Linked DNA regions of Coturnix japonica. The main gene of each other region encodes a partner of the protein of the gene in region 2 in a complex. Links are inferred from orthologs where the notes say so. Each region holds a gene or a part of one and is shown on either strand. Other genes may lie near its edges.

Region 1 (4,259 bases), on a different chromosome or scaffold from region 2:
TGGATCCTGCACGCTGCTTTTAGCACAGAACACCAAGGGGAGTGGGCAGCTGCAGAACCCTGTGAACATCACTCATGGGATGTGCATTGGGATGGCACACAGAGGTTGTGGTGGCCCAGGGATGGTCCTGCTTCCTGCCAGCTTCCTGGAAGCACAGGGCTGATTCCTGGAAAGTACAGTATGTGGCAGTGCTCTCCCCCTCCTTTCTGTCATTGTTCAATGGCTTCTCCTCCGTCTTTCAACCAGATGTGCTCTGCCAAGTGTTCAAGAGAGGCTGGGTGATTGGGTACGTCACCAGTGAGAGCAGAGCTCTGTGTGCACTGCGCATATGGCTGGCAGACACCCAGCACACCCATCTAATTATTAAATATTTATTGCACCTTTAATGGGTCAGTTACAACAGAAGAGTGCTCCCAAGGAGCAGGCTGCAAGGAACGGGAAAGCACCATTAAAGACTGTCAGGGCCAGATGAAATGCAGCGTGGTAATGCACTGCAGATAACCCGTCTCTCCTGCGATAAAACGTGGTGCAGCTGTTGCTGCAGGCAGTTCTTCCAGCAGCTTCCTCCCTTTGGCAGCTGTCTGCACCATTGCTTAATGCCGGACGTGCCCAGCCCTCTGTGACATGGCCAGGCTTGGATCTGCTGTGAAACTGGCCCTTCTGCTGCACTGTGTGATTCTCACTGTATCCTCTGGTCACAAAGTCCAGCGCCACTTAGACACTGTATAATGCCTTGGGAGAACTGCTGGCTGACGGGCCAGGACTGGAGGGTTGTATTAATGGGGTTACATGGCAGATTGTCACCAGTGGGGTCCTGCATTGGCTCCATTTAAGGTCCAGTCTCTTCAGTGGGTTATCGGGGAGCTGAGTGCACACTGATTGTCCTCTGATGGTGCTGAACTAGGGGAAGCCGTTGGTTCCCATGCAGGAACTGGATGATCTTTGGGGTCTCTTACAAGCCAAGGGGGCTGGGAATAAAAGGAAAAGGAAGATATGGAGCATGGGCAGACAGGGGACAGACACACGGACATGGGGACAGGCAGACACGTGGCACGGCCAGCACACAGCCCGTGTCGCAGCACATGGGTGCTGGAGGCAGAAAAAAAACCCAGTTTTAAAACGATTTTAAAACAGAATCGAGAAATAAAACAGGAGGAGTCCCCCCATACGGGTTCCCACCCCCTCCCCTCCTCCAGGGCAGGATCCTGCCCGCCACTTCCTGCTCGGCGTTACGCAGCACTTTTTCTTACAGTCACACGGTTGGTTTTTTTTTTCTTTCTTTTTTTTTTTTTTTTTTTTTTTTATTTCTTTTTTTCCCCCTATTTTCCCTCCTCTCCCCCCTCTCGCTGCTCCCCCCAACCCCCGCCCTGTGAAAGAACTATAACGGCCGCTCCCCTTCCCGCCTCGTGACGTCACCCGCGCCATGGGCGGGAAGGGGCGTGGCCCGGCGATGGGCTGAGCGCTCAGTGCGCATGCGCGATGCAGCGGTGGCTATATAAGGGCAGGCCCGGGGCGGCGGCGGCAGAGCGTTGGTTTGGCGTTGCGGAGTGAGGACCGGTATAGACACAGCCGAGAGCGCAGCGGCGTGCGGGACGCGCGTGCGCGGGGACGAGCCCGTTGTCCGCCTTGTGACCGTACAGCACAGTGAGAGCCGCCATGGTGAAGAGCGTGGGCAGCCTGGTGAGTGCATGGGGCGGCACGGTGGGGTGTGGGTGAGGGGGGCTTGGTGTCGGCGCCGGGCCTTGGGCCGCGCTCCTTTGTGTGCGCTGAGCCTGAGGCCGCTCCCCAATGGCGGCTGCGCTCCGGCCGCAGGGGGCACTGCGGGAGCGGGTTAAACTGCAACACGTCGCCCTGACCCTTGGCTGTCAGCTGATGGCCGCGATCACAGAATGACCCGGGTTGGGAGGGACCTCAAGGATCATGTAGTTCCAACCCCCCTGCCTGGCAGGGCCACCAAACATACGCCTTTACTAGATCAGGTTGCCGGATCAGCACGGCCCAAGGGCGGCTCGGTGGGTGTCAGACATCGTGCTTATAGCTGGGGTCTTGTATTAAGGCTGTCCCAGCTATGCTGAGGGCGGTGGATTTCTTACGGCGTTGGTTGGTGGCCTCCATTTTGGGTTGCTGGGAATCCCTGCTGCATTGAACCTCTCCTTGCCACCTGTTTTCTCGCAGCCGGCCCTTGGAAACTGAAATCTGCTAACATAATGCTGCCTGCTGCGCCCAGCAAAGTGAGGCCGAGGCCTCAGGGAGGCACCAGATGGGTATTTGAAAAGTGTTTATGGGCTTTTCCCCTCCAGAGGACTAAGGAAAATATTGCTGAAAAAGCTGTGAGATCCTCTAACAGCTGTAGCCACGTGGACTAACAGGGGGAGGTGTCCATTCTGATAATGGAGATATTTCTGTATGAATCTTATTAATCCATACTTACTGCAGAAAGACTAGAAGTCAGAAAGGTCAGCCAGTTTTCCTGCTGTATTCCTTACTTCAGGGATATTAATGTTTTCTGAGGAAAAAATACCAACACTTACCCCTTGCTGGGTATCTCAGGGGTAACACCGTTGGACCTCGTGTCTCTTCTCAGGCTGCCTGTAGCAATTTTAGCTAATTCTAGGGATGACTCACAGGGTAACGCCTGGCTGCAGCTGGAGAGCAGTGCTCAGATCTCCAGTGGTGTATGGGTTGTGATCTGCAGGAAGTGCCATGTCCTCCCACTTTGCCCTTGTTCTGTGCAATATTGCCCTGAGATGTGTGGTCATATGATCAGCGCGTCCCAGGGATGGCCTTCCTCATGCAGGGTACAGCAATCAGTCATTTGGACTGAGGAAAATAGTCCAATTGGTGGGTGCAGGAGGTAGAATTAATATTAATAAGGCTGTTACAGCACTAAGTTGTGAGAATATATGCCAGAAATCAGGGATTTGGAGGTGGGAGTGAGTGAGGCTCTATTTAACAGCCTTATGGTTTTAAGTAACCACTGGGAGCAGATAGCATGGACTACTGTGTATGTGAACGCTGAACTTTGCTGGAGGCAGTGTTGTGCTTTAGAGACTGGGATGCAGGAATACACCCCACATTAGCACAGTGGTGGAGAAGAAGAGAGAGAGGAAGAACTTCTTGCTGCCACCCTTGCCTGTGTGTTGGATCAGCATCCTCTGCTTGCTCTGCCTGAGATACTTGTTTGTTTTTTAGCATGCAAATATTTCTTTCCTTCAGTGCCTTACACTTCTGTTGAAACATTTGCTCTTTGAAAACAGCGGCACATAAGGAGCTCTGAAATGCAAAGCGTGATGTCCAGAAATGTCTCTTGTAACAAAGTGCAACAGAGATATCTCTGTTAACCTTAAATGTTAGTTGTTACTGGCATAGACTGTGTAGCTTTGCATTGAGTACTGGAGTTACACCCCAATTTACTTGGCATAATAAAATATTTATATGATGAAGCTGTTGCTCTAGGAAACATGCTGTAGGGTAAACCACGCAACATCTTGATTCTAACCATTGCTTGGGAAAGGTATCAGACCATGAAACTGTGGAAGTTTGTCCTCAGATTCTGAGGAATCCTAGAAGAAAATGGACGACATCCTATTAAATTGGAGATTAGAACTGAATGCTAAGGACCGTCAGGATCACGTTAGAAGTGTAACATTACTCAGTTTAGCTTACGGTCTCAGTTCATGCTGAGTTCTACATAAACTTCCACAGTTCAGTGACTGAGCATTGTGATGTTTCATAATTGATACTCATAATTCATCAGAAGACAGTGGGGGATGCAGTGCTGATGGAGCTAAGGGAAAGCTGACTTGGGGGTTAGTCTTGAACCTTTTGCAAATGAGGGGGGAAATCCTTAATGTTTTGATTTCTTTTTTCTTTACAGTCCGAATTTGAGGCAGAACTGAAAGCTGCTGGTGAGAAGCTTATAGTAGTTGATTTCTCTGCCACATGGTGTGGACCATGCAAAATGATCAAGCCATTTTTCCATGTAAGTAGCTTTTGTCTTTCACAGTAACTTTAAGTATATAGAAATACTTCTGTGCAACTTCTAATATGGTGGAAACCTTCTTTGTCTATGGTGTGTTTTCCTGAAGGAGGAATCTTAGAAGGATATGATAGGTAACTATTGAATAAAGCACTTGGATACACAGCGGGGAACTAACACACTGTAGCGTTTTGTCTGTCCTGGTGTGCTGATGCATCAGTCTGTAGGGACCTAGCTGGTGCATTTCCACAAGAACTGGCAACAGTGGAGTTGAAATAAT
Region 2 (3,560 bases):
TCCTCTTCTGCACCTAGTAAATGTCAACTGAGAAAGCCCTACGTGGTAGGTAAGCAGCTCAGACACAACGTCTGAGGAACTCTGCTATCTATATCTGCTATATCTATCTGCTATTAGCAGTCCAAAGTGAGGAAGGAGAACTAAAAAATGTTTTAAAGGTGCTTGATGCTTGTGTTGTTAGTTTTACCTGTCTCTCCCTTCGCAAAATTGGCAAGCGATGATGAAGGAAAAGCTTCTATTGCATTGTCCTCCTGGTGAGACTGCCTCTGAGAGCTGGATAGTGCTTTCTGAATTACTTCAATAGCCTCTGTGTGATCCATCTGTCTCAAAGCAGCAATCAGCTCCTGAACTGTACCTCCAGAAATCTAAGAGAGAAGACAGCAGATGCTCAGCTTCATCCTGGCTCGCTAAAACCAAAGGGCTGTGCTGTATCACTGGGCAGGACAGCATTCACTGCACAGCTGCATGTTCTTAATAACTTGTTACAGCCACATTACCTTATAGTTATCTAGCAGAGTTTTTGAGGGTGAAGGGCTCAATCCGAAGGCATTATTAAGAATGCCAAGCCCCAGCTTTTCTGCTAGAGTAGCCCAGTTCTTGCTTGGATCAGGTGTTTCCAATAGCTTGTAAAGCTGCTGCTTGGAGCTTTCATTCAGCTCCCTCAGAGGGCCTGGGGAACAGAAAAATACATCTGTTATTTACTCAATCACACACCAGTTCATTTCTAAGCAGAAGCACAGACAAATTTAAAAGTATCTATTTTAGCATCTCTGGTACTTACTAATATATTGCTGTAATATTGGAAATGTACAAACTTGGGCCCTCGTGCCATGCTTCTGAACAGACTCATTCTAAGACCGCAGTGGTAGTGAGTGCCCCTTCTCCCTCCCCACCTCCCTCACAAGCTGCTGCAGTCACGTTCTTCTGCAAACATACTTTGGTGCTCTGCTGTTTGTTCCCAAGGGGATGTTGCCAGCTCATCTTTACAGACTTTACCTTGTGTCAGTAAGTCCTCCGAAACTGCTGCTGCTGCTATGTAGGGTTTGCCATTTAATATGTCATACACCTAAGAGAATATATTCAATTTAGTATTTCGCAAAACCTGGTTATTTGTCCATTATTTTGACAAGTTTTGGTGGTATTGTTTGTTGTACAGCACTAAATCTCTAAATGGGCATTTAAAAAAAAAAAAAAATTACAGAAAACCTGTGCATACCATGAGGGATAAACCTCAGTTCATCTCCCTTAAGCTCTGTCATCTGGCAGTTACTGCCAGGACACAGAAGCAGCCTGTGCAATAAGCGAGGGGCTGTAGCAGAAGTTAAGTGGGGAGTTAGCAGCTGTCTACAGCCAGTAATTTCAAGCAAAGCCTGGGCTAGATTTTCACCTTTTCAGTAGCACTCCCCAGCCGAGCTCCATTTGATCAGAGATGCCAGCTCCTTACATGCTCACATCATGCCAGCTGTGTGTACTTGGATACTGAAGCTCGAACCATGTAATCTAACCAATGTTTGGGTAAGACACAAAAGTCTACTTTCACTACATATCATCCAGTCTGCAGTTCTAAAGACCATGCAGCAGAGAAACTTATTACAGTGTCTCACCCTGACCTTGTAGACCCTGAACAAGCACCTTCAGGCACATGCTGCTCTGTCTGCTGTCCTCTTCCATATTGACAACCCCAATGCAACTACTTAGAAGAAATGCCTGTTCAATCCTGCTCAACAGAAGTCAGCTACTCTGAGGAGCTTTTTTCCAATACTACTTCACTGTTTCTTGTGGCTCAGTAAGTTTGTTTGTGATGCCAGTTTGGGTGCTGTAGAAATTTGTCACCATTTAAATAACTGGATGAAATTAAACGAATTGTCAGTACTAAAAGACAGCAGCCCACGTACCTCCCAGTTGGCTGCCATGTCCAGTGGTGTTGTTCCAGGTACAATCCCTTCATCATCATCATCTTTCACATCTTCTTCAACATCAAAGAGCGGCTCAAAGTTCTCAATGTGAGGATCTGCACCTGGAGAACAAGCGTGCAAGGCATTTCTAAGGAAAGGCTTTTAAGCTGTTTTACATCACGTTGTTGAAAAGCACGGTTTAAACAGCTACGTTAGAAGGTTTACAATTCAAGACTGAGAATACATATTTTAACTCCGAAAATGGTGTTTTTTTCCTAAATAAACTGAAGTGAAATGTCACAACATCCCCATGTATCATCCATTATACAGATGGGGAAGAAAAGACAAGCCGTGTGGTTAGGCCCAAAGAAAGCATCTGATGATATAAACTGACTTCCAGTTCCATTCTTGGCTCACACAGCATGTATGTGACGAAGCACTGGTGCAGGGCTTCCCTTTTGTAGTGTCAGAAAGCAGGAGTGCTATTAAAAGACCAAACACACAGCCAGAGCAGGGGGAGGCTTGGATTTCTGTCTCAATGGAGAAAATCCAGGTATTAAGGGATGAAACACAACTGAAAAAAGCATTGAAATGCACAATCAAAACCAAATTTACTGTCATGATTCAAAACTGCAGAGAAGTGGTCCCAGTTTCTATGCCTGTAAAGCAGTCCAGCCTTATCCCAACTATAAAACTGGGTCTTTTGTCTGCTTCATATTAAAAACTATCTGCAAGTACCCCAAACCTCCAAGATTGCTTGGAAGTATTTTTACTAACACAGTTTTGCTTTGCTTTTTGTAGCCATTAGATGGTGCTAAAGAGTAGCAGAGCCTCTGAAACTAGGACTTCCCAGAGGAGAAACAAACCTTTATGCTTTTAACATCTGGTATCTTTTGCTCATTATGAAGTTCACTGACTGTGTGCAACGCCTTCACCTGAACTGGCACAGTTAAAGAGAACCCTGCAACAAACACTTGACCCAATACCTGCTGCTTTGAGAACTGCTGCCAGCTTCGTAAAGCCCCTTCCAGCTGCTATGTGAAGAGGCGTTGTGCCGTCGTATGTAGTGCTGTCCACATCTGCATCACCCTAAGTATTGAAAGAGAAGAAAAATGCTATTATCTATACAGTACTGTTGCATAGAGACTTGTGTCTGCATGAACCTCACTGCTCTGCAAGCAGCACCATTCCGTGCCTGTTTGCACAAGAATTCCAATTGTCTGAAAAGAATGAATCGGAAAGTGACTACAACTGTTGGCACCAGTAACAGACAGTGGTTGTGCTCTGCAGTGCCACAGCAGGAGGCAGCTGAGTGAACCAGGTAGATACAGCTCAAAAGCCACTTTGCATCCCATAATACTAATCAGATAATAGTTCTATTATCAGATTACCCGCAGCATTTGCCGTGCACTGAGAGCTGCCTTCCTGCTGCCCTTCAGCAGAGCAGACGGGCCGGTAGCACAGCTGTACTCCATACCCAGGGGAGCTACTGCAGGTAGCTGTGGGTGTGCCCAATTAAGTGTGCTGAGATCAAGGTGTGAGAGATGAGACAAATATTTACAGATACACACAGCTATCTCTCTGCACATCTGCACACACATTCCACCGCACCCGATCAGCAACTTGTTCGGGAGTCGTTTCATTGGCTGCTGGGGTTACTCAGTG

The links. The genes of interacting proteins can lie anywhere in the genome.
Region 1: the proteins of NFKB1 (region 2) and TXN are in contact, whole or in part, in an NMR structure (PDB 1MDI), measured with the Homo sapiens proteins. The link is inferred for Coturnix japonica from reciprocal best matches to the Homo sapiens genes NFKB1 and TXN. Residues at the interface, in NP_001158884.1 of Homo sapiens: Arg56, Phe57, Arg58, Tyr59, Val60, Cys61, Glu62, Gly63, Pro64; in NP_003320.2 of Homo sapiens: Thr30, Trp31, Cys32, Pro34, Met37, Ile38, Asp58, Val59, Asp60, Asp61, Gln63, Ala66, Ser67, Val71, Lys72, Pro75, Ser90, Gly91, Ala92.

What each region holds. Positions count from the first base shown.
Region 1 is NC_029547.1:59,052,567-59,056,825, reverse strand, and holds the start of TXN (thioredoxin), read left to right. Parts: upstream 1-1,455; 5' UTR 1,456-1,656; coding exon 1,657-1,680; intron 1,681-3,877; coding exon 3,878-3,982; intron 3,983-4,259. UniProt on the Homo sapiens protein: Participates in various redox reactions through the reversible oxidation of its active center dithiol to a disulfide and catalyzes dithiol-disulfide exchange reactions.
Region 2 is NC_029519.1:54,750,978-54,754,537, reverse strand, and holds part of NFKB1 (nuclear factor NF-kappa-B p105 subunit), read right to left. Parts: intron 2,985-3,560; coding exon 2,882-2,984; intron 2,018-2,881; coding exon 1,896-2,017; intron 1,067-1,895; coding exon 997-1,066; intron 671-996; coding exon 498-670; intron 366-497; coding exon 188-365; intron 1-187.